Ovis aries: one gene and its partner. The protein of the gene in region 2 interacts with the protein of the main gene of each other region in a pairwise test. Links are inferred from orthologs where the notes say so. Each region holds a gene or a part of one and is shown on either strand. Other genes may lie near its edges.

The links. The genes of interacting proteins can lie anywhere in the genome.
Region 1: the proteins of SIPA1L2 (region 2) and AP3M1 interact in binary tests that used the Homo sapiens proteins (3 or more experiments, as listed by UniProt). The two-hybrid records come from large-scale screens. The link is inferred for Ovis aries from reciprocal best matches to the Homo sapiens genes SIPA1L2 and AP3M1.

The regions. Positions count from the first base shown.
Region 1 is NC_056078.1:29,208,879-29,219,181, forward strand, and holds part of AP3M1 (AP-3 complex subunit mu-1), read right to left. Parts: intron 7,200-10,303; coding exon 7,062-7,199; intron 5,606-7,061; coding exon 5,520-5,605; intron 4,841-5,519; coding exon 4,707-4,840; intron 3,870-4,706; coding exon 3,662-3,869; intron 2,359-3,661; coding exon 2,214-2,358; intron 1,745-2,213; coding exon 1,644-1,744; 3' UTR 1-1,643. UniProt on the Homo sapiens protein: Part of the AP-3 complex, an adaptor-related complex which is not clathrin-associated. The complex is associated with the Golgi region as well as more peripheral structures.
Region 2 is NC_056078.1:4,619,073-4,629,375, reverse strand, and holds part of SIPA1L2 (signal-induced proliferation-associated 1-like protein 2), read left to right. Parts: coding exon 1-135; intron 136-2,097; coding exon 2,098-2,181; intron 2,182-3,849; coding exon 3,850-3,950; intron 3,951-4,303; coding exon 4,304-4,407; intron 4,408-6,081; coding exon 6,082-6,467; intron 6,468-10,303.

The DNA of each region.
Region 1 (10,303 bases), about 25 Mb from region 2:
GGGAATAAACATTTGGCAACATCTTAATTTTAGCTGCCAAGCTGATACTGGTTGTCCTATAAACTGCAAAATGTGATCTTTCAGATTAGATGGAAGGCAGGCTTGGTGCCATAGGCAGCAAAGAATGCTGCTGTGCAGTGGGCTCCCTATATCAGCACCAACCACCAGCCCTTGACAGGAGAATGGGGTGAGTGGAAGGGCTACTGTTAGCATATGGGAAAGGGAATTATAAGTTGAGAAGAACAAAATGAATGGAGTTACAGGGAGAAAACTAATAGCAAGAACAAGCACTTAGATCTTAACTTTATTCTTCATGTCTAATGAACCAAAATAAGTGGGCAAGGACTTCTAAGTCATCCAAGTTAAAAGATAACTGCGGGCTGACTCGCCAACCACAAAGATCAATACAGGTTTATCAATGTTACTGAGGATTTTGTTTCTGCCTTATTATATATGTACTTTCACCTACTTGGTCAGTAGAGTAGAGATATTTAAGTATTCCAGTGACAGTTTCAACAATAGTTTCAGAGAGGAATCTTTTGACTATAGCCTTGGGTAGCACACACTATGTAAAGGGAGTCCCCCTGAAAGCAAAGAATGTAGGCAAACTGAATCCATTAAGAAAAGGAAAGAAAAAAGATAAAAGATTAAAAAAATAATAATTTGACAGTATTGAGGCAGGCACATTTTCTTCCTTTAGCTGAACTAGGGCATGAGGGCTTTAGGCTAATTGGTTCTAAGTGGTATCAGACAAGCTTTATAAAACATGAAGACGGCAAAGGTTCACTTAAGTTTCTCTTTTACTATGTTAGTTTGCTCAAAATCTCAAATGCTTGTGCTTGCAATAACTTCCTAAAAGCAGAAGTAGAAGTAGTGTTCCCTTTTATTACCTTAGAGCATTTGCCCCTTTGATACAAATGACTTTTACTGTGCTAACAGATGAGCTAAGTGGCACAAAACTGAGAGTGTACTTCCTGCAGCAAGGTCCCTATAAATCAAAATCAGCTTTACATAAAAATCTTATTTATAAAAAATACAATACCAAGTACAGTGAGAATGGAGCATGGAGCAGCAGTGCTCCCTGCCAGGGCCATGTGGAGTGGCTTTTGCTACAGTGCTTGCTTAATGGCACAAGTGAAAAGCTGAATAAGGCAAACACTTGAAGAGGCAGTTTTTTGTAAACTTCTTGGGTGGGAGGAACTATTCCTCTGTTGGGACAGATGATTGGGGATGGCTACGATCAAGTGTGACACTTGGCTCCACTTGATACATCACGTTACAGACTAAGACAGCGTCTGCTGGCTGAGACCGGTTCACTTGTTTTAGGGGAGAGGTTATCACTGTAGACTTCTGCCTTGACTGTGAAAATGTGCAGCCTCTAGCTGGTGCCTTCCTATGGAGGAAATCACCTCTAAAACTTTCCTAAGTGACAAGGTACAAATAAGCTAAGTCATTCAGAAGTTTCCTTAGCTTAAAGTTCCTTAAGAACCCTGCATCGATAACTAAGCAACTCTGTTAGCGGTATGTGGCTAGACATAAATGCTTTAACTAGAATATGTATTCCCACCCAATTGGTACCTAATAGTAATACATTGTGATGACGCCTGGAAAACAAATAAATCTTCAGGAATTCTGGCCTCTTCTCATGTCCTCACTTGGAACTTTCCAGCTTTTGTGACGTATTTGACTCCTTTAAATGGCTTATATTTCTCCCCATACATGTCCAAGCGGTTTACTTTTAAGCCTGTGTCAAAAAGAACACATAAGGAAAGGAACAAATTACAGTCCTGGTCACACCAACCAGTACAATATTTGCTTAAGAAACAGTTTACTATACAGTAAATCTGACATTAGCCAGTGTCCATTTCAAGATCTGGAAGCAATGTTCCTTCTAGCATTCACAGATTCAAGTACTAGGAGGGTATGATTTTAGTTCAGATTCCCATATGGACAAGCAATGTCTTTTAAGGATAATTCTACTTTCTTTGAGTATAAATGATTTCTTTCTTTGTGCCTGAATGAGGGTAGGGGTGAAGGGAAGCTATGTGAAATAAGGTGCTCTCCAAAATCACTCTCAAAAATCAAGGAGAGTGAGAGGCATACTGGAGTAGTTGCTCTTTGAAGAGACGGAATGTCAGTTACTCTTCGAAGCTCCTAGCAGCTGACCTCAGCAAAACTCAGTTAACCCTTACACACATCAAATTTCTCCTTACCTGAAATAGCAAGCTGTTGGATCTTGAACTGTATGTTGAGGCTTGGATTCTCTTCTGGCTTGGGAGCCCCAGACTGTAAATTTACCAGTCCTTTAAGACTGGGGAGCTTTTGTGGAGTGATTTTCCCCACATCCCACGTTAGTACCTTAGAAAGAAAAAAACAGAAAACATTCTGAACTATTTATTAAAGACAAATGTTCAAAGACAAGGTTCAAAGACCATAAACTTCTGTAGAAAATAAAGCACAGTGTCTTGGAATAAGAGACCTGGGATTCCCACTGAGTTTTACCACTAGTTAGTTCTGTGACTCTGAATGGGGAGTGAAAAAAGGAGTAGATGCATTTGTTGAGCATCTACTTTTGGATATAATACTGTGCTCAGCACTATTCTCACGCTGTCTCGGAAGTCTGTGATGTAAAACTTTGTCTAATTTTGACAAACAAAGAAACTAAAGCTGGAGTCAGATGACTTGCTGAAGGTCACATAGCTAGAGGAAAGGTTGGGATTTGACCCTAAGGCTATCTGGTATCAAACATCCTTTCCACTATGCCATCTTTACTGTTTCTCTCTGGGCTTAAGTTTAGTTTTCTGTAAAATGAGAAGATGGGCCTAAATCAGTGCTTTTAAACTTTTAGTGATGGAACCCTTTGTTCAAATGAAATACCTAGTGAGGGAGCTCAGTAACAGATGAGAAAATAAAGCTGTTATGGTTGAAGCTGGGGTGAAGGCTAGGGATCTGGAGCTCCTGCTTAATTTCTCAGCCCTGTGTGGTCTCTGGGGAGATTCTTTGACTTCTTAGGAATAGATTAGATGATCTTTAACATTCAATGATTTTATAGTTAAATAAAAAAAGACTTTTCATTTACTATGCAGCTCAATGACTCTATTGAGGAAAAGAATCATTCCTTTACCCAAGCAGGAAGCAGAGAGAAAAATCAGCTTTTACAGTTTCTCTGAACTCCCTCTGCTAGAGGCAAACATATAGAGGGTGAGAAGGCAACTTTCCTAGTCAGCATCCTCTGTAGAAGAGTATGAAATAATGCTTTTAAATTAAAAAGGAAGAGAAAGATCTTAATTTCTTAACAATTAATACACTGTAATATCTATTAACCATTAATAGATTATTATATGCACATAATGCTTTTCTCTTTTTAAAAAGTTTTTATATCTTCCTCATTGAAGAGTTAGTGAACCTCTGGATTATCAATGTATAAGAAAAGGCAGATTCTGAAGGAAGAAGGAATGAATCTCACTTTTCTGCTCATCAACTTAGCAGCAGATGCAAGATTCTCTCCTGTGGCAGAGCACAGCACAATCTGCATTCTAGGCTGTTAGAGCTTTAATTTCAACCAAGATATTAGACCCTTCCCTCTGTCCTCCCATGTCCCCAAATCACAAAATAAGGATTGCAGAAACACTTGCTCACTCTTGATTTTAGGTGACTGTACCTTGGTAACTGGATCAAAAGTATAGCTGCCTTGTGTTGGTGTCAGGTTCATATTCAACACAACTTTCGGCATGTGAACGGTCACCGTGATTGCTTCAATAGTTTTCCCCATATTCTGCTTTGGTCCAATTGTAATATCAAATCTACCACAAGAACTGTTCTCCTTAAAACTGATGCTGTGTTTCACATATACTGGTATTGCCACTAGACTAAAAAGAGAAAGACAGACACAACCACAAAAAACATACAATTAATAGTGTGAGCTCTGGAGGTGGCACAAAAACCCTAGTATAGAATATCCAATACCCGCAGAACCGCAGGTTCAGTATCTGAGCCAGGGCAGTTGAGTACAGCGGTGTTGTGGAACCACTGTGCCAGAAATTATACAATTTCTGAGCAGTAAGTATACAAATCAAGATAAAATTATAGCATCAATAATTGGCACAAACAGTCCTGGTTTCAAGAAATGAATTAAGATCCCAGAGAAAGATAATTTCGAATTACACAAACTAAATATATCAGTTTCTCTGTGATAAGAGCCAAGAAAAAATTCCTCTGCTTTTAAGTTCTGTTTTGATGTTGTCCAAATACTTTCTGATGTTTTCAAGGGACAAACCAGCTACAACCCAGGATGCTAAATCATTCATTTAAACCTCAGTGCAGAGAAGAGTGACTTCAAGCCAGTTAGTTGAGGGATGTCCTGGAGAACTACAGGTAAGTCTGTCTCCTTCTATCAGCCATAATGTCCACAGATCATAGTAAAATTATGGCATGGGTTCATGGTTTCGTCCAGGTTATGCATGGTCCCAAGTGCTTGCTCTAAGGTATATATTTACTATTACTCTATACTCTTAAGATTCAAAGTATACTAATTATATTTTCCGCATATATTTTCACCAGTTTGTTCTGGGTCTCCTGGTGAGCAATGGCTAAAGGGAGCAATGGTGAATTCAAGTAACCAACTGTTAGAATGAAACAGGGAAAAAGTGAGTTCTACACAGCACACTGATAGATGACAGGAGATTATGGTTGATACAACAACATACTTCTGTGAGCTGACACGGTATGATATGAGTCGGAAGTTTCCATCTGGAGGAATAAACGACAGAACTCTTTCAGATTCCCAACGCTTGAACCGAATGCAGGGGTGGAAGCTGACATCATCTAGAAGCCTTGGATTCTGCCATGGAAAAGAGAAGACAAGCATATTCATAAAGTAAAACGAATATGGCAACTCTAGTCAGATATATTATGAGATCTGAGAAATATGCTTCCTTAAGATAAAGCAGTCATGTAAGTTTATTCAGGCTTATCGTTTCACAATGCTTTCAAGTGTACAAATATTTTATATACATTATTATTTGAATTTCAATAATTCAATTCCAGTAATTCCCATGAGGTAGAAAATGTGAGTGGTTTCATTTCCACTTCATAGATGAAAAAACTGAGGTTCAAAGAAAGCTCAAGGCCAGGACAAGTTAGAGGCACAGACAGCATCAGGGCTCAGTTCTCTTAGCAGTTCTCAGTAGTGTAGTATGCCGAATCTAAAATGATGAAAAGATCAATGCCTTTTCATACCAACAGAGCATATAACAACTCAGTAAAAGCAGCACTACATATCCGCAGCAGCCAGCCAGCCATTTAAGCTACTTCTAACATACTCAGAGGCAAAGCCTCTCCACAGCCTATCCATAAAGGCAGTGCTCATCATGTAAGCTACTGTCTTTGGAAGCTGTGCTAGGAATACTTCTTACATAATCCAATGTGATCTGAAAGAAGCATGTATCAGTATTTATCATTTCATTTAGTACTTCATATATATTAGGCACGAAGGAGTTACAAAACAGAGCAAAACTTACCATGAAAGAGAGGGAAAGGTCAGGCATTCCAGAGAGCTTAATGCAAGCATCGATGACCCCCTGAATTTCTGCAAAGACTGTAGATCCTAAAGGAATAATAAAGGTATCACTGGAATATGCATGCATTCTAGTAAAGTAGCTCTACCCTACTAGAGCTATCACTATATCTGAAGTAATGGAGATATCTCCCAGGTGTCAGACATACTGAAGCTTTGTACATCTATTAAAAGGTTAGTGGACAGAGGATCCATTACACCAGTTTAGACAACTTCTTTACTGAGTGCCAAGGCTGTTCCTGTCTCCGGTTGGAACAGGATGATTCTAAGGAAAATCAAACCCATCCTTATCTTTATAGAGTCAGCCTTGTAAGACTGCTGGATGTGAAGTTAAAATACTTTTTTTCCACTGACTTTTAAAATTAAAAAAAAAAAAAACTATTCAATTTTTAAAGGTTACTTTCCATTTATAGTTATTACAAAACATTGGCTATATTCCCTGTGTTTTACAGTGTACTTGTGAGCCTGTCTTACCCCCAGCTGTTTGTACCTCCCATTCTCCCACCCCTTTACTGCCCCACTCCACACTGGTAAACACTAATCTGTCCTCTGTATCTGTGAGTCTGCTTTTTTTTTGTTAAATTCATTTGTTTGTTGTATTTTTTAGATTCCACATATAAGTGATATATAGTATTTATCTTTCTTTATCTGGCTTATTTCATTTAGCATAATGTTCTTCAAGTTCATCCATGTTGTGCAAATGGCAAAATTTCATTCATTTTTATGCTGAGTAATTTTCCATTGTGTACATATATACATCTTCTTTATCCATTTATCTGTTGATGAATACTTAAGCTGCTTCCACATCTTGGCAACTGTAAATAATGTTTGTTTGAACATTTTTTTTTTTGAAGTTCAAATATTTTAAATAAAATTAGCCAAGTTTCTAATGAAATGTTAAAAAGTAGGAACCATAATTCTTTAACAGTACAGCAACTATTCCATACAATGGAATTTTTATAATAAAAATGCAACTCACTGTAGAGATAATTGTCTGTAATTCACAGTAAGTCATTTTCACATACCAACTAGTGGTGTGACCTTTAACAGGTTATTTAACTCTTCTAAGTCTCAGTTTCCCCATACATAACATGTGAGAGTTGGACTAGATATCTTTAGTAAAATATTACGATTCTAATACAGTACTGTTCTTCAGTCTGGGGTCTTTACTAGAAGGACTGCACACAAAGTGGTTGTAAAAAGTATGGTGCACAGTAGACATACACTACATATCAGGCTGGATAAATGGCAAGATAAATGAATACACGATAATTAGCTTAAAGTAAGGTTATTTACTCTGATTTACAAACGTTTGGCATTTCTCAACTAGTGGTTATGAAAATTGTATGTAACCCCTGGGCAAAATAAACAGATTTGAAAACGAATGCCTTTCCGGTACATGATACTGCCAAGGGATATCAGTTTTCTGTTCCGCTTCTGTCACCTGAATGGTTTTCCCCCGATAAGAAAACATGCACCCAATTACCTGATTTATCTATAATTGCATCTATTTCTTCAACAACATCAAAATAGGCTTCATTGTTTGTGTACTTTACCCCTGCGCGGCGCCACGGAATGTTGGACAGCTGCCCAGTGGGGAGTGTGTCCCCAACGTTACTACTGCCTAGAAATCAGAAAAATAGAAAGCAAAGCTAACATATAAAACGGTCAGAAAAAAAAAACCCTCAAATAGTTTAGCTGCTTGTTCAATGTTTGAGTTTCTCTCCACTGAAGTTGTAAATGGTTTACAGAATTGTCAGAGACATATCCATATCAACATGATCAAATTTCTAGAAGACAGAAATAGGCCACATGGTCCTGTGTTTGTCTGCCAAGCCAGGTTAAATTCATTTGCTTATCTTCTGCTTCCTGTGTGCTACAGTAGCCTAACCTAATTCCAGTGGCTCAACTACGGAATCTCCTCCTGCTGCCACTAATGAAAACAGGCGACATGTTTCAAAATCCTTCGCTGATTAAATGTTTGCACTGAGAGTACAGAGTGATAAGTAGGCCATTTGGTGTTCAGCTTGAATTATACATGAGATGCTGCCAAACAGGCCTCTCATGTGGAGAGTAACTGGATGTGGAGTAACTGGATGAAGAACATACTCTGGCCTTTTAACATTTTAAGGTCAGCACATTCATATGGTACCCATATGTGATATGGAAAATGTTCAAAATCTGGCTAATTTCCTGGTTAACTGACATATGTCTGAAAATAAGTCTGGTTGTCCAAAACATATACCCTTGAGCTGTGACACTTTAACATTCTGGTTAATTTACATTTCCAATTCAAAAGTAGTACATGTTTAACAACAACAACAACAACAAGTGAAAAATTAAGAAAAGTAGCTAAAAACTATCTTCCTATTATAGAAATATAGCTACTATTAACATTTTGGTGTATGTATTTCTTCAAACATTTCCCTCTGGAGAAGGTAATGGCAACCCACTCCAGTGTTCTTGCCTGGAAAATTCCATGGACAGAGGAGCCTGGGGCTTGGCAGGTTACATGACTTAGCGGCATACAAACACAGACACACACACACACACGCTGGACAGAGGAGCCTGGGGCCTGGCGGGTTATAGTCCATGGGTCGCAGAGAGTCAGACACGACTTAGCGACACACACACACGACACACACTCCCCCTCAGAGCAGGTTGCATCTATTATTTTTCTTCTATTTTGATAATTTTGCTTTCTTTTTGATTTCACTGTAAAATATATAATTGACCCTTGAACAACACAGGCTTTAGGGGTGCTGATTCCTGTGCAGATGAAAATCCATATATGATTTTATAGTTGGCCTTCTCAAAACGTGGTTCTGCATTAACAGATTCAATCAACTGCGTGGACTGTGTAGTACTATAACATGTATTTATCGAAAAAAATCTAGATTTCAGTGGACTCTTGCAGTTCAAACCCATGTCTGGTTGTAGTTGCAGTCCAATCATACATACAACTTTGTAGTGTGATTACGCTGATGATCCCGTCTCCAACGCTGCTGCTTTCCAGAATTTTCTAAAAAACACTGCTTTAATCTTCCTTCTCAAAACCTTGAAATGCTATCCCACTGGTTTTATGATAAAAGCTAAATATTTAGCCTAGTGTTCAAGGACTTCCTCAACTTAACTTTTTATCTCATGACTCAACTGAAAAACAGCTCTGCTTCTATTAAACAGGTTAAAACAATTCAAGATTTTTCCACTGTGTGTTTTCTCATATGGTTCTATCTATGAAGAATGTTCTTATTCCTCCCTCCCTTCCTAAATTCTTTTGATTCTCCAGATCCCTGCCCTAGGGCCACCCACTACAGTTCAAGAGAGATTACTTCACCCACTGAACCACTCTCTTGATCTTTATTGTGTATTATAAACTTTAGAATTTTTTTGTGGGGATATTTATTTATAATTATGGGCAACTTGTTATGATTGTGCGCTTTTTTTTTTTCCTTTCTTGGCAGTGCTGCATAGCTTGTGGGATCTTAGTTCTCCAACCACGGAATGAACCCAGGTCCCAGCAGTGAAAGCACCAAGCCCTAACCACTGGCCCACAAGGTATTCCACATTCCGTCTTTTTTTCATTTAATAGCACATGATGTGTACCCTCTAATGTCATGACACTGTCTATAAAGTTATGGAATTGTTTTTCAGAATCTTACACTGTTATTTATATGTTTTAATTTTTTCCCCTCAGTTTCTCATCCAGAGTTTACATTTTAGGAACAAAAAAATCTCATCTTATCTTTCCTTAAATTTCTCCTGACACTTATTCTTGAGGATGAGGATGAATAATGGAAAGATCACTTTCTTATAGACCTTGCTTACCCATTTTTTAGGCCAGTGCGCTTGGAAAGGAGTTTGCAATGGTGGATAGTATGCATGGAGTATGTATGGGGTATATACATGGAGTGGTACTTAACAGTTCATAGAAATTTTTCTCTAGAAGACTTTGATACTTTCAAAAGAGTATTGTCATCTGAATAGCTCTAATTTCTAGCTATACTTAAGAATTAAAGCAAAATTAGAAGTTTGCAACACAAGTACAAGGGCCCATAATGCATGAAATCTCACAAATACACTTATTTTCTCTTTAATGCATCTTTTATATGTGTAAAATAAAGACCTGAAGGAGGTAACATATACTCTATGGTGCAGAATCTTAAACTTTCTATACTCTAGTAATTGTGCGGTATGCAGTGGTAAAGAATCCGCCTGCCAATGCAGGAGATGCAGGCAGCATGGGTTCAATTCCTGCGTCAGGAAGATCCCCTGGAGAAGGAAATGGCAACCCACTCCACTATTCTTGCTTGGTAAATCCCATGGACTGAGGAGACTAGAGGGCTACAATCCATAAGGTTGCAAAGAGTTTGGACGCGACTTAGCGCCTGACACAGGGTAATGCCAGTTTTAAAATGCTACTTTTTAAATTTTATTTTTTGTTTTTTCCCCAGCTTTATTGAGATGTAATTGACATAGAACAGTGTATTAGTTTAAGGTATTCAACATAATTATTTGATATACATATTACAAAGTGATTACTACAATAGTTAACAGCAGCCACTATACTGGCTTATGGTTAACTGGGATAATTTATTCAGTGTTACTATTGTGTTAAACAATAGTAATAATATTGCTGTAGTTTTGAAGCAAAACTTATAACAAAAGAGTAATAACCAAAAACTCTATCATTTAAGATATAGGCTCTTTTCAAGAAAAGAAATATAC
Region 2 (10,303 bases):
CCTGCAGCCCCTGCCCAGGGTCTCCCCGGTGCCCGGCACGCCCGACCGGCTGCAGTGCCAGCCCCTGCTCCCGCAGAGCCAGGCCGCCATCCCCCGCAGCACCTCTTTCGACCGGAAGCTGCCCGATGGTACCAGGTAAGCTGGGGGCCCTGGTGAAGCCCTGGCTTGGAACTTCATGTGGTGGGGGACTTATGTGTGGCTTAGTCACTTCTGAATTAGCTTGTTCTGACCAAGTGGGCAGCAGGGCCACTGGGCAGGCCCTGGACGCTGGGGTACTTGTGGTCCCAGCCAGCGGTGGTGCTAATGGCAGGGCCTCTGGGCAGGCCCCGAGTGCTGGGGCACTTGTGGTCCCAGCCAGCAGTGGTGCCATGGACACCACCCCCCAGAGCCACCATTGTACCTCTCTGCGGTAATCCTCCTGTCAACTCGCTCTCCAAACCACACTGGGAAACCATTCTGCAGGAGCCTCTAGATAAGCGTGAACAGTTTTGAGTATAAAGAAAACAAAGCCACAAGAATCACTGATGAAATCCCGTCATCCTAACGGTCACAGTATTTTCAGAGGTCCTAAGATCACTGGCATCTCTTTGCTTTTCTCTCTCATTTTAAGCAGAGGGAGTTGAGTTTAAAATTAAGTTTTTCCCTGAGAGGGAGCACCTGTTTAAGAGTGAAATCCAGTAGCATTAGAAGCTGCTGAGAATTTAGAGACGTGGCACAGAGAGGTAGTTAAAGTGAACAGCATAGTAGATTCGTTGTTGCTATTGACTTTTATGCCCTTTGGTTTAACTTTCACGTAACTTACAGGCTGTGGAGACACCAAGAGTTTCCTCACAATTCCTTGTTAGGCTTTCATCTAATAGACCATATGTTGTAAGCAGACACTGAGCCAGGCTGCCCGCTGAACGTGTCATCACCTTACCCTGTTACCTGGCCTCTCCCATTCTCGTTTCCTCCTATGAAAAGTAAACTTGGCTATAATAGAGACCTCCACAGGGCATTATGATGGCTGAATCAATCCACAGAGGTTAACTGCTTAGAACAGTCCTGGCCCATAGGTGTAAGTCTCTATAGGTGTTAATAATAATTACCAGGATTAAAACATGTGGTCTTCCTCTGACTTCTCCAGTCTGTTTTTCCTCAAATGAGTGCAAGAATGGTGTAACTAACTTGACAGTCAATCATCTGGGCTCTGGATCTCCCTTCTCAAAGGTCTGCTGAGTTTATATTCAGAGAAATGCATACAGTAGGTAGCCTGGGTGTAAAGGGGTTACATCTGAAAGGGAAAGGGTCTATAGAACCTCCCTTATTAACATATAATTTACTAACTTATAAGGAATTCTTTGGGGCTTCCCAGATGGCGCTAGTGTTAAAGAACCCACCTGCCAGTGCAGGAGACATAAAGAGACTTGGGTTCAGTCCCTGGATTGGGAAGATCCCCCTGGAGGAGGGCATGGCAACCCACTTCAGTATTCTTGCCTCGAGAATCCCTTGGACAGAGGAACCAGTCTATAGGGTTGGCAAGAGTTGGACAGGACTGAAGCCAGTTAGCATGCACACGCACACACAAGGAAGGCTTCTAATAGCAAAATGAAAAGTTGGCAAGCACGTCTTCCTCAAATGAGTTCTCACAAGTGTCACTCATTTTTGTGTGTCTGAAATAAATAGGATTACATTCAATACATGTGCAGAAATAAATGGTTTCGCCAAATTTAGAGTTTTCTCTCTGCCTCGGTTTTAAATATAGAACCACAGCATCCCTTGCAATGTCTCATAGACCAAGTCGTAGTGATGTTTTCGTAATTCTGTGTATCCTATTGCTGTCCCCCGTGTTTAACTGGGATCATTAGCTGTGCTTTCAATCTTTAGATGGTAAAGCCTTGTTCCTGCCACATTCCTTCCTATAATAAATTAGCAACCATAATACCTCTGGAATCTCATGGCATCACCAATTCTCAGTTTATTTGTCCATGACCACAGTGTGTGTTTCCCCTTTTCTTCGTCATTGAAAAATGAATTCATTTGTAAGTCAAAACGAGCCAGGTCCAGATGTTGGCAGCCCACCTCCGTACCTGTTACTGATTGTAGTCAACCTTTCAGAAGTTCGCCCAGCAATCAGTCATCGTCCAGCGACCCCGGACCAGGCAGCAGCGGACCCTGGAGACCACAAGTTGGATACGACGGGTACCACTCCTTTTCCCCTTTTGTGGGCTCCTGGGGGGACATGTCTTCAGGGCACATTCAGAAGCACTTACTGTGCACAAGGCCACTGGGGACAGAGAGACTCAGATAGCACTTTGTTAGGGCCAGTGCTTCCAGACTGGGTAGCTCATTGTTTCTGTGAAAGTGGACTCATTTGTCTATATTCTGAACTTGTCTGTTTTCTTTTCTTTTCTTCTTAATAAGGGAGAGTCTTTTTGAACACATGAAAATTAAGAATTTGGAGACTCTGTGGGTGATGGCCCTTGGGAGTTTCCCTTCACTTACATTGCTGACGAGGAATAAATTCACAGTCTTTCTTGAAAGTGTTTTTCTCTCTAAAACACAGCCCAGAGTCTGAGGAGGCAGATTTAGCATGTGACACATTTCCTCTGCCTCCTTGAGAGCAAGTGGAAGCTGGGGGCAGGGCTGTCCCTTGTGTGCACACAGTGCCCAGGGGCCTGAGGGCACCTATGGACAGGACCCAGGATGGATGGACGCAGTAACTCAAGGAAAATAGCTGCACACTCTTGGGAAGAGGAGGGCCGCCCCAGGAATGTGGCTGTATTTTTATAAGGAAATGCAGGTGTTGCCCCCAGCAGCAGTGTTTCTGTGCATTGTTGCAAGCCAGTGTTGCCTCTGCCACTTGAAGGAGCTGGGTGCACTGCTGAGATGATGGACTGTCCAGGCAGCTGGGGGGCCTTGCACCAGATAAGAGACGCTTCTGTTCCTCCTCTCACATGTGCCCAGGGAAACCCTCTCCTGGGACCCTCTCTCCTTCTGGTTTGGGCTGAGAAGTAGAGATTTATAGTCCGAGTTATATGCATTCCCTGCTTTAGATGCTGGATGGGGTTCTTAAAAGTTGTACTTTTTTTTTTTTTTTTAAATTTTTGAGATGGTTAGATAGCCTCACAGATTCAATGGACATGAATTTGAGCAAACTCTGGGAGATAGTGAAGGACAGGGGAGCCTGGTGTGCTACAGTCTATGGGGTCACAAAGAATTGAATATAACTTAGAGACTGGAAAACAATAACAAAAATGTTGTACCTAAAGAAATCTTTCTTGTTTGAGTTGCATTTTTAAAGTAGATGGGGGAGGCTTTATGTCAGTGGAAAAAGCATGTCTTGGCTTTTTCTGCAGATCAGGATTTAGAACTGGAATTCTGGAAGAAAGGGTCCCTTTATAACATGAATAAGCTTTCTGCAGTTTCCTTTGGAAGAGTAAATTGTCCTATTTGGGGATTTTCATAAAGCAAAAGTCCGGCCAGATGTAGTCTAGCAGCAAATGGATCTGATTTTCTTTTTCCTTAAAAAAGTTGATATGAAGAAGCATCAGTACATGCACTCAGGAGAAACAGTGGCAGCAAAAGCAACGGGCTCGTGTTCAGTCCACAGGGACCCGAACAGTCCTTTCAGCCCCTGGTGCTGGCCGCCTCCTCTATCTGTAAATGGTGTCATCCGGGTGCCTCTTTGGACCCAGGGGTGACAGAGGAGCCCCCAGGTCCAGATGCTCTAAGCTGCTCTGTCAGGCAGAGCTGCGGCAGCAGAGAGCCTCTGACGAGGGATCCCTGGGGTTGCCCCTCGGAACCAGCACCCACAGGGACACTGGCGAGACAGCGTGCGGGCGCGCCTCAGCTCTGTGTTCTCTCCAGGTGCCAGTCTCCCCTGCTGCTGGAGCACCAGGGCTCCGGCCCCTTGGAATGTGACGGAGCCAGGGAGCGGGAGGACACCGCGGAAGGGAGCAGACACGCTGGTAACCCGGACTCCCGCCCCTCGCGTGCCCCTCTCCTGCCCCTTCCTCCCCCTTCACTGGTTCACTCATCCATTCCCGTCTGGCCAGCACCATCCTGCCCTGTGCAGGGTAGCTGCTGGGCCCCCAAGGTCATCCGGGATGTGCTCGTAGCTGGTGGTGCCTGGGAAACTGACCGTGAGCATCGTGGGGTGGTTCTGTCTGCTCTGAGGACCTCTCTGTGGGTAGGACCAGAAGGTCCTACAACCAGTCCTGATGGTGGTCACTGAACCACAGTGTTTGGCCCCTGAGTTTCTCTGCTCCTCTGTTAATGCTAGAGATTAGATCTTTAAGGCTTCTCTCTCTGTGTGTGACAGAAACCAAATGGCATGGCCCGCCTTCCAAAGTCCTGAGCTCCTATAAGGAAAGAGGCCTGCAAAAGGATGGAGGTTGCAAGGATTCTCCCAATAAGCTTTCTCACGTGAGTCTTGTCATGAACCAACGCTTCTGTTCATCTCAGCACTCGTGTTTTATTAGCATTGTTGCCAGGGATTCTCAGTGGCATCACTTATCTCATAAGGGTCTCGGGTGAAGTTAAAAAGAAAAAAAAAAAGTGGGGAGGTTCTTTTTTCTCTCTCTCCTTTCATAAAGAAATACAGAGAAAAGTCATCCCGTAAACTATTGGCAAAGCCAGGACTGTAACCTCAGCCTTTGATGCTTGGTGGTTTTAATCTGTTGACTATTATCCGCATGTGGGCAAAATACAGAAGCAGAACCTGTGCGGCAGGGTGTGCGGTGGGTGATGCTGTGCCTGGTACCGGCCGCTCAGGGAGCAGCTGCAGACGGCATGCAGGGACACCGGCAGCAGCCACCTGCCAGGCTTCCCGGGGTCCCACAGCGCCCATGTGGTTCTGTTTACTCTTTGCAGAAATGAAAAGGAGCCATGTAGGTGACTGTAGCTCAGTGAAATGAAACTACCAGTTAAATGTGCAAACAGGAATTTTAGTTGTTGCCAGATGAAGCCAACCTTATAAAGTAGCTCATTTTTCAAAATTTGCAGACGTCTTATCAGGTCCTGACCCAAGTTGTTCCTTTTCTTCTCCTCCTCCACGTGTCATTGGCCAGCCTCAGAGCTGTTACCTGCAAACATGTGGCCTCCATCTCTCAGCTTGTCTTGAGCCGGCCTCGCGGAGCCAACTGATGGCGCCAGCACACGGGCAGTGGGGGAGGGGAAGGGTGAACTTGAGAAGATCCACTTGTGATAACAGAGGGCATCGGGATTTGCTTAAGGATCTGATAGGGTGGAGGGAAAGAGGGAAGAAGAGAGGGATGGAAGGAAGAAAGGGAAGACGGAAAGAAGGAAGGGCCAGACCACTTGAAAATCACAGGTGGCTGGGTCTCGTGACTCCACAGCCCTAGGCTGACCATCCAGGCTGAGAGGAGGGGTCGTGTCTGTACCAGAACATCATCAGATGGGACGTTTAGTCTGCTCTCTTGGTTTCATCTTCCAGGGACCTCCGTGCACCCCCAAGAGCACCCCATCTCATCAACCCCGGGTCTCCCCTGACTGGGGCTCTGGGGGTGGGTGTGGATCATGCTTAAACAGTGCTTCTGCACGCGTGAACTGGTTGGGTCTGCACAGTAATCCCTGTGCTCAGTATAATAAGCACAGAGAGGAGCTGAGTGACTGGCCAAGATCCCCCCTACTGTGATTCAAACCTGGGTCTTCTACCCCACACCCAGGACTGGCCCTGTCCCTTGTCACAGGAGCATTCTCTGAAGAAAGGCTGTTTCCCTCCTCTTAATTCCCCATGTACTTCCCCAGCTTCTAGAACCTTCGTTAACTGCTTTCCGATTAGTGACAGTGTGGCAATACTTTTGTGTTGATGTACAGATAATTGAACAAAGACTTGAAAAGATACCCATTTAACTTAGGATGAATGATGGGAGGAATTATGACTCAGGGACTTTTGCATGAAACCAGGATGTTTTTGAAAAGTAAATTCTTGCCTTGCTTCCTGCTGACAAGCGAGTAGAAAGGGTTCGGGTGAAATCATCAGGTCTGTAGCTTCGTGAGTCTGGGGAGAATAATCGCCTTCGTGTAGAAGCAAAGTGTAGGGTTTGTCTGAAGCCTCCCCATTTCTCTCCTCTCAAGATCGGAGATAAAAGCTGCTCCAGCCACTCCAGCAGCAACACGCTCTCCAGCAACACCTCCAGCAACAGCGACGACAAGCACTTTGGGTCTGGGGACCTCATGGATCCCGAGTTGCTGGGGCTGACGTACATCAAGGGGGCCTCCACGGACAGTGGCATTGACACGGCCCCGTGCATGCCTGCTGCAGTCCTGGGCCCCGTGCACCTGGCGGGCAGCCGGTCCCTGATCCACGGGCGGGCAGAGCACTGGGCCGACTCTGACATCCCGGGGCCCGACGACGAGCAGGCCAGGATGTACGCAGCCCATGGCTATGCGCCTGGCATCTCCACCAGTGGGGCTGCCGACGGCAGCCTGGGCGACCTCAGCGAGATTTCGTCCCACTCCAGGTAAGGACCTCCCCATGCTGTGACTGGCAGCTACTCGGCGCTGTCATCTGCTGCTGGGGTGGGGGCAGGGGCCTGAAATAGGACCAGAAGGTGCCTGAGATCATTGTCACCTGTGGGCCAAACTGCCTGGCTTCAGATGGAGGGCTTATGTCCAGAGTCTCATTTGAAATGTGCATGTGAACAAGTTTGTGATTACATCTTCCTTTCTCTTTAAATTGGAGAGAAAATGAAACAGATGCTCACGGCAGTCATCAGGCTACTCATGTTTCTCTGCAGTTCAATGTGTTGTCCCTGGGACTTCCCTGGTGGCCCAGTGGTTAGCACTCCATGCTCTCACTGCAGCAGGCGTGGGTTCGACCCCTGGTTGGAAAACTAAGATCTCATGCGCCTCCCAAAAGGTGAAAGGTTCAGTTTGTTGTCCCAGATTTTCAGGAGGTGTGGTACCAGCTGGACGGTACTCAGATGACGACGGACAGTAAGGAGGGGTGGTCTCTGTGTTGCCGCCTGAAAGCCTGTGCCCCATTCTCCTGTTCCACGGGCCCCCTTACACAGCTGTGTGCTGGAAATGTGTTCAGATTGATGATCCACTTTCTTTTTCAATATAATGACTAGTTACATTTAAAGGAATTACGTTCTAACTGTAGATGTTTAATATATTTTTATGAGTAGTTTTCAATTCCCATATGACAAAAGTGTACAGTGACTTTAAAATGCATCACTGGAGATTCCTCCCCTCAAAGACTAAGCAAAGAGCTGCATTGATACAGGTTTGGCCGTGGCTAGAATTTCCTGCACACCAACGACCCCTGTCATTTTCCTTCTTGTCTGCAAAGCCTTCCCTCCTTCAGCTGAGTCATCGTCTGACTTTCCCCCAGAACCCTTCCAGGTGCTGGACTGTAGCCAGATGAACGGTGATAGGGCTGTCCCTCCAGGCATCCAGGGCCATGGCCAGTGACGATGCTCAAGGCCGGCACTGGGCTCAACAGGCAGGCCTTGTGCTCCTTGGCCCTGCCCTTCACTCCACCTGCTCCTCATCCTCACGTGGTCTCTGCTGAGCCTGGAGGGATGAACCAATGGACCATAGCGAGGCTCGCTGTGACCTCACACGGACACGTGAATTGCATCGGCCATCCTCTCAGTTGAGGCAGAGACCTCATCAGCGGTGCCTTGATTTTCATGACTGATACCATGGGATATGTCTCATCTTGTTGAAAAAAGTTTTAGACTTCTTAGTTCAGTTCAGTTCAGTCGCTCAGTCGTGTCCGACTCTTTGCGACCCCATGAATCGCAGCACGCCAGGCCTCCCTGTCCATCACCAACTCCCGGAGTTCACTCAGACTCACGTTCATCGAGTCCATGATGCCATCCAGCCATCTCATCCTCTGTCATCCCCTTCTTCTCCTGTCCCCAATCCCTCCCAGCATCAGAGTCTTTTCCAATGAGTCAACTCTTCACATGAGCTGGCCAGAGTACTGGAGTTTCAGCTTCAGCATCAGTCCTTCCAAAGAACACCCAGGACTGATCTCCTTTAGAATGGACTGGCTGGAACTCCTTGCAGTCCAAGGGACTCTCAACAGTCTTCTCCAACACCACAGTTCTAAAGCATCAATTCTTCGGCATTCAGCTTTCTTCACAGTCCAACTCTCACATCCATACATGACTACTGGAAAAACCATAGCCTTGACTAGACGGACCTTTGTTGGCAAAGTAATGTCTCTTCTTTTGAATATGCCATTTAGGTTGGTCATAACTTTCCTTCCAAGGAGTAAGCGTCTATTAATTTCATGGCTGCAATCACCATCTGCAGTGATTTTGGAGCCCCCAAAAATAAAGTCTGACACTGTTTCCACTGTTTGCCCATCTATTTCCCATGAAATGATGGGACCGGATGCCATGATCTTCATTTTCTGAATGTTGAGCTTTAAGCCAACTTTTTCACTCTCCTCTTTCACTTTGATCAAGGGGCTTTTTAGTTCCTCTTCACTTTCTGCCATAAGGGTGGTGTCATCTGCATATCTGAGGTGATTGATATTTCTTAGTCCTGGAAATTAACATAAGTTAATTTTTTTACATAAATTGAAAGGGCGAAGATGCCTGCACACACACACATGCTTGCTGCTGCCTTCCTGCTTTTCTTTTCCTGTCACTAACATCATCATCTGTGTCTTAGTAGCACAAATGATCATTTTGTAACCTTCTAATGTTTGTTCAAAGTGTAGCAGATTTGTAAAGCGGCTGGTTTTCTGATAACCTTGCTAGACAAGTGTAAAAGGCATCACAAACAGAATTTTGCATTACTGTTGAGGAAAATTTCTGCTTTCAGAGCACCTTCATTTATGAGTAGAGTTGGGATATCAATAGGGACTTGAAGTAGGATTTCTGGAGTACCTTGCTGCTGCTGCTAAGTCGCTTCAGTCGTGTCCAACTCTGTGCGACCCCAGAGACGGCAGCCCACCAGGCTCCCCCCATCCCTGGGATTCTCCAGGCAAGAACACTGGAGTGGGTTGCCATTTCCTTCTCCAATGCATGAAAGTGAAAAGTGAAAGTGTAGTTGCTCAGTTGTGTCCGACTCCTAGCGACCCCATGGATTGCAGCCTACCAGGCTCCTCCATCCATGGGATTTGCCAGGCAAGAGTACTGGAGTGGGTTGCCATTGCCTTCTCCTCTGGAGTACCTTAAGCATCCATTAATGTGATGGGTCAGATGAGTAGAAAGAACTGGGAGGTGCTAGACTGCATTTCTGGCTGATGTTGCTCCTTCCCCGCCCCTGCTTTACGCTGAACATGTGCACAGCGGTTGTAGAAGGGCCATGGGCCACGTGAGGGTCTTCTTTGCCACCCAGAAGCCTTTTTCTTGCCATTCTTAGTGGACAGTGACTTTAAAGCCACATTTCGACTTCAGTTGCAGGCTTTTGTTCATGTGGAATTTGTCAATAAATTAAATCTTTTGAGCACTTCTTCCTCCTGTCTGTCCCCTGCAGAAGGGCTAGAGAAAGTAAATTTAAATATTCTAATTTTTTAGTTTTAAATTTGTTTAATGATTTTTAATTTTAAAATGTTTTTAAGTATTTTTAAGTGCTGTCTATATTAATATTTTATATTTAAAGTAAGATTTGAAATATTGGTGTGTCGAGGCAAAAGGAACTTGGCTCATTAGCGCATAACAGACCTAGCTACCTCAGCGGTGCTGAGACTTGGCAGATCCAGAAATGCTGGGGCCCAGCCTGGGGCACCCGTTCTCCGTGATGATGAGTGTCGTCAGCTGTGCGCTTGTATGGTCAGCTCAGAGCTGAGGCCCACTGCCCAGGGTCTCAGTTGTAACCAGGAGTGGTCCAGGGAGTGAAAGAGGAGAAGAGGCTCTCAGGGGCTGGCATCGGCACTGAGCATCCTGGCTAGTTGCCCCCTGCCCCGCACACTCTATCTCACCTTGTCTCAGCTGCTTCTCAGCACTCCCGCCCTGGCTGATGTCGACCGAATAAGGGAACTCTCTACTTTCAGCTTGTGACAATCCTTTTGTTGTGCGGGGAGCCCTCGTTCACCTCTGGAGGCCAGAAACCGCTGATGGCTGTGACGTTTCTTGCGCTGTGACGTTTCTTGCCCACCGACGTGGCAGCAGATCTTTTCATTCCACAGTGAGGTGGTCTGTGCTCACAGCTTATCCTATCCCATCCGCATCGCCCCCCACCCCGGCTGCAGTCTTCCCTTCAGTGAAAAGCCGGGGCCTGTCTCCTGCACTTGTACCCGCAGCACTTAGCACAGGCTCCTAAACGTGGGAGGCATTGCAGTGTTTGTTGAATGCGGGAAGGAAGTCTAAGAAGACTGTTGATAAGCATTTGT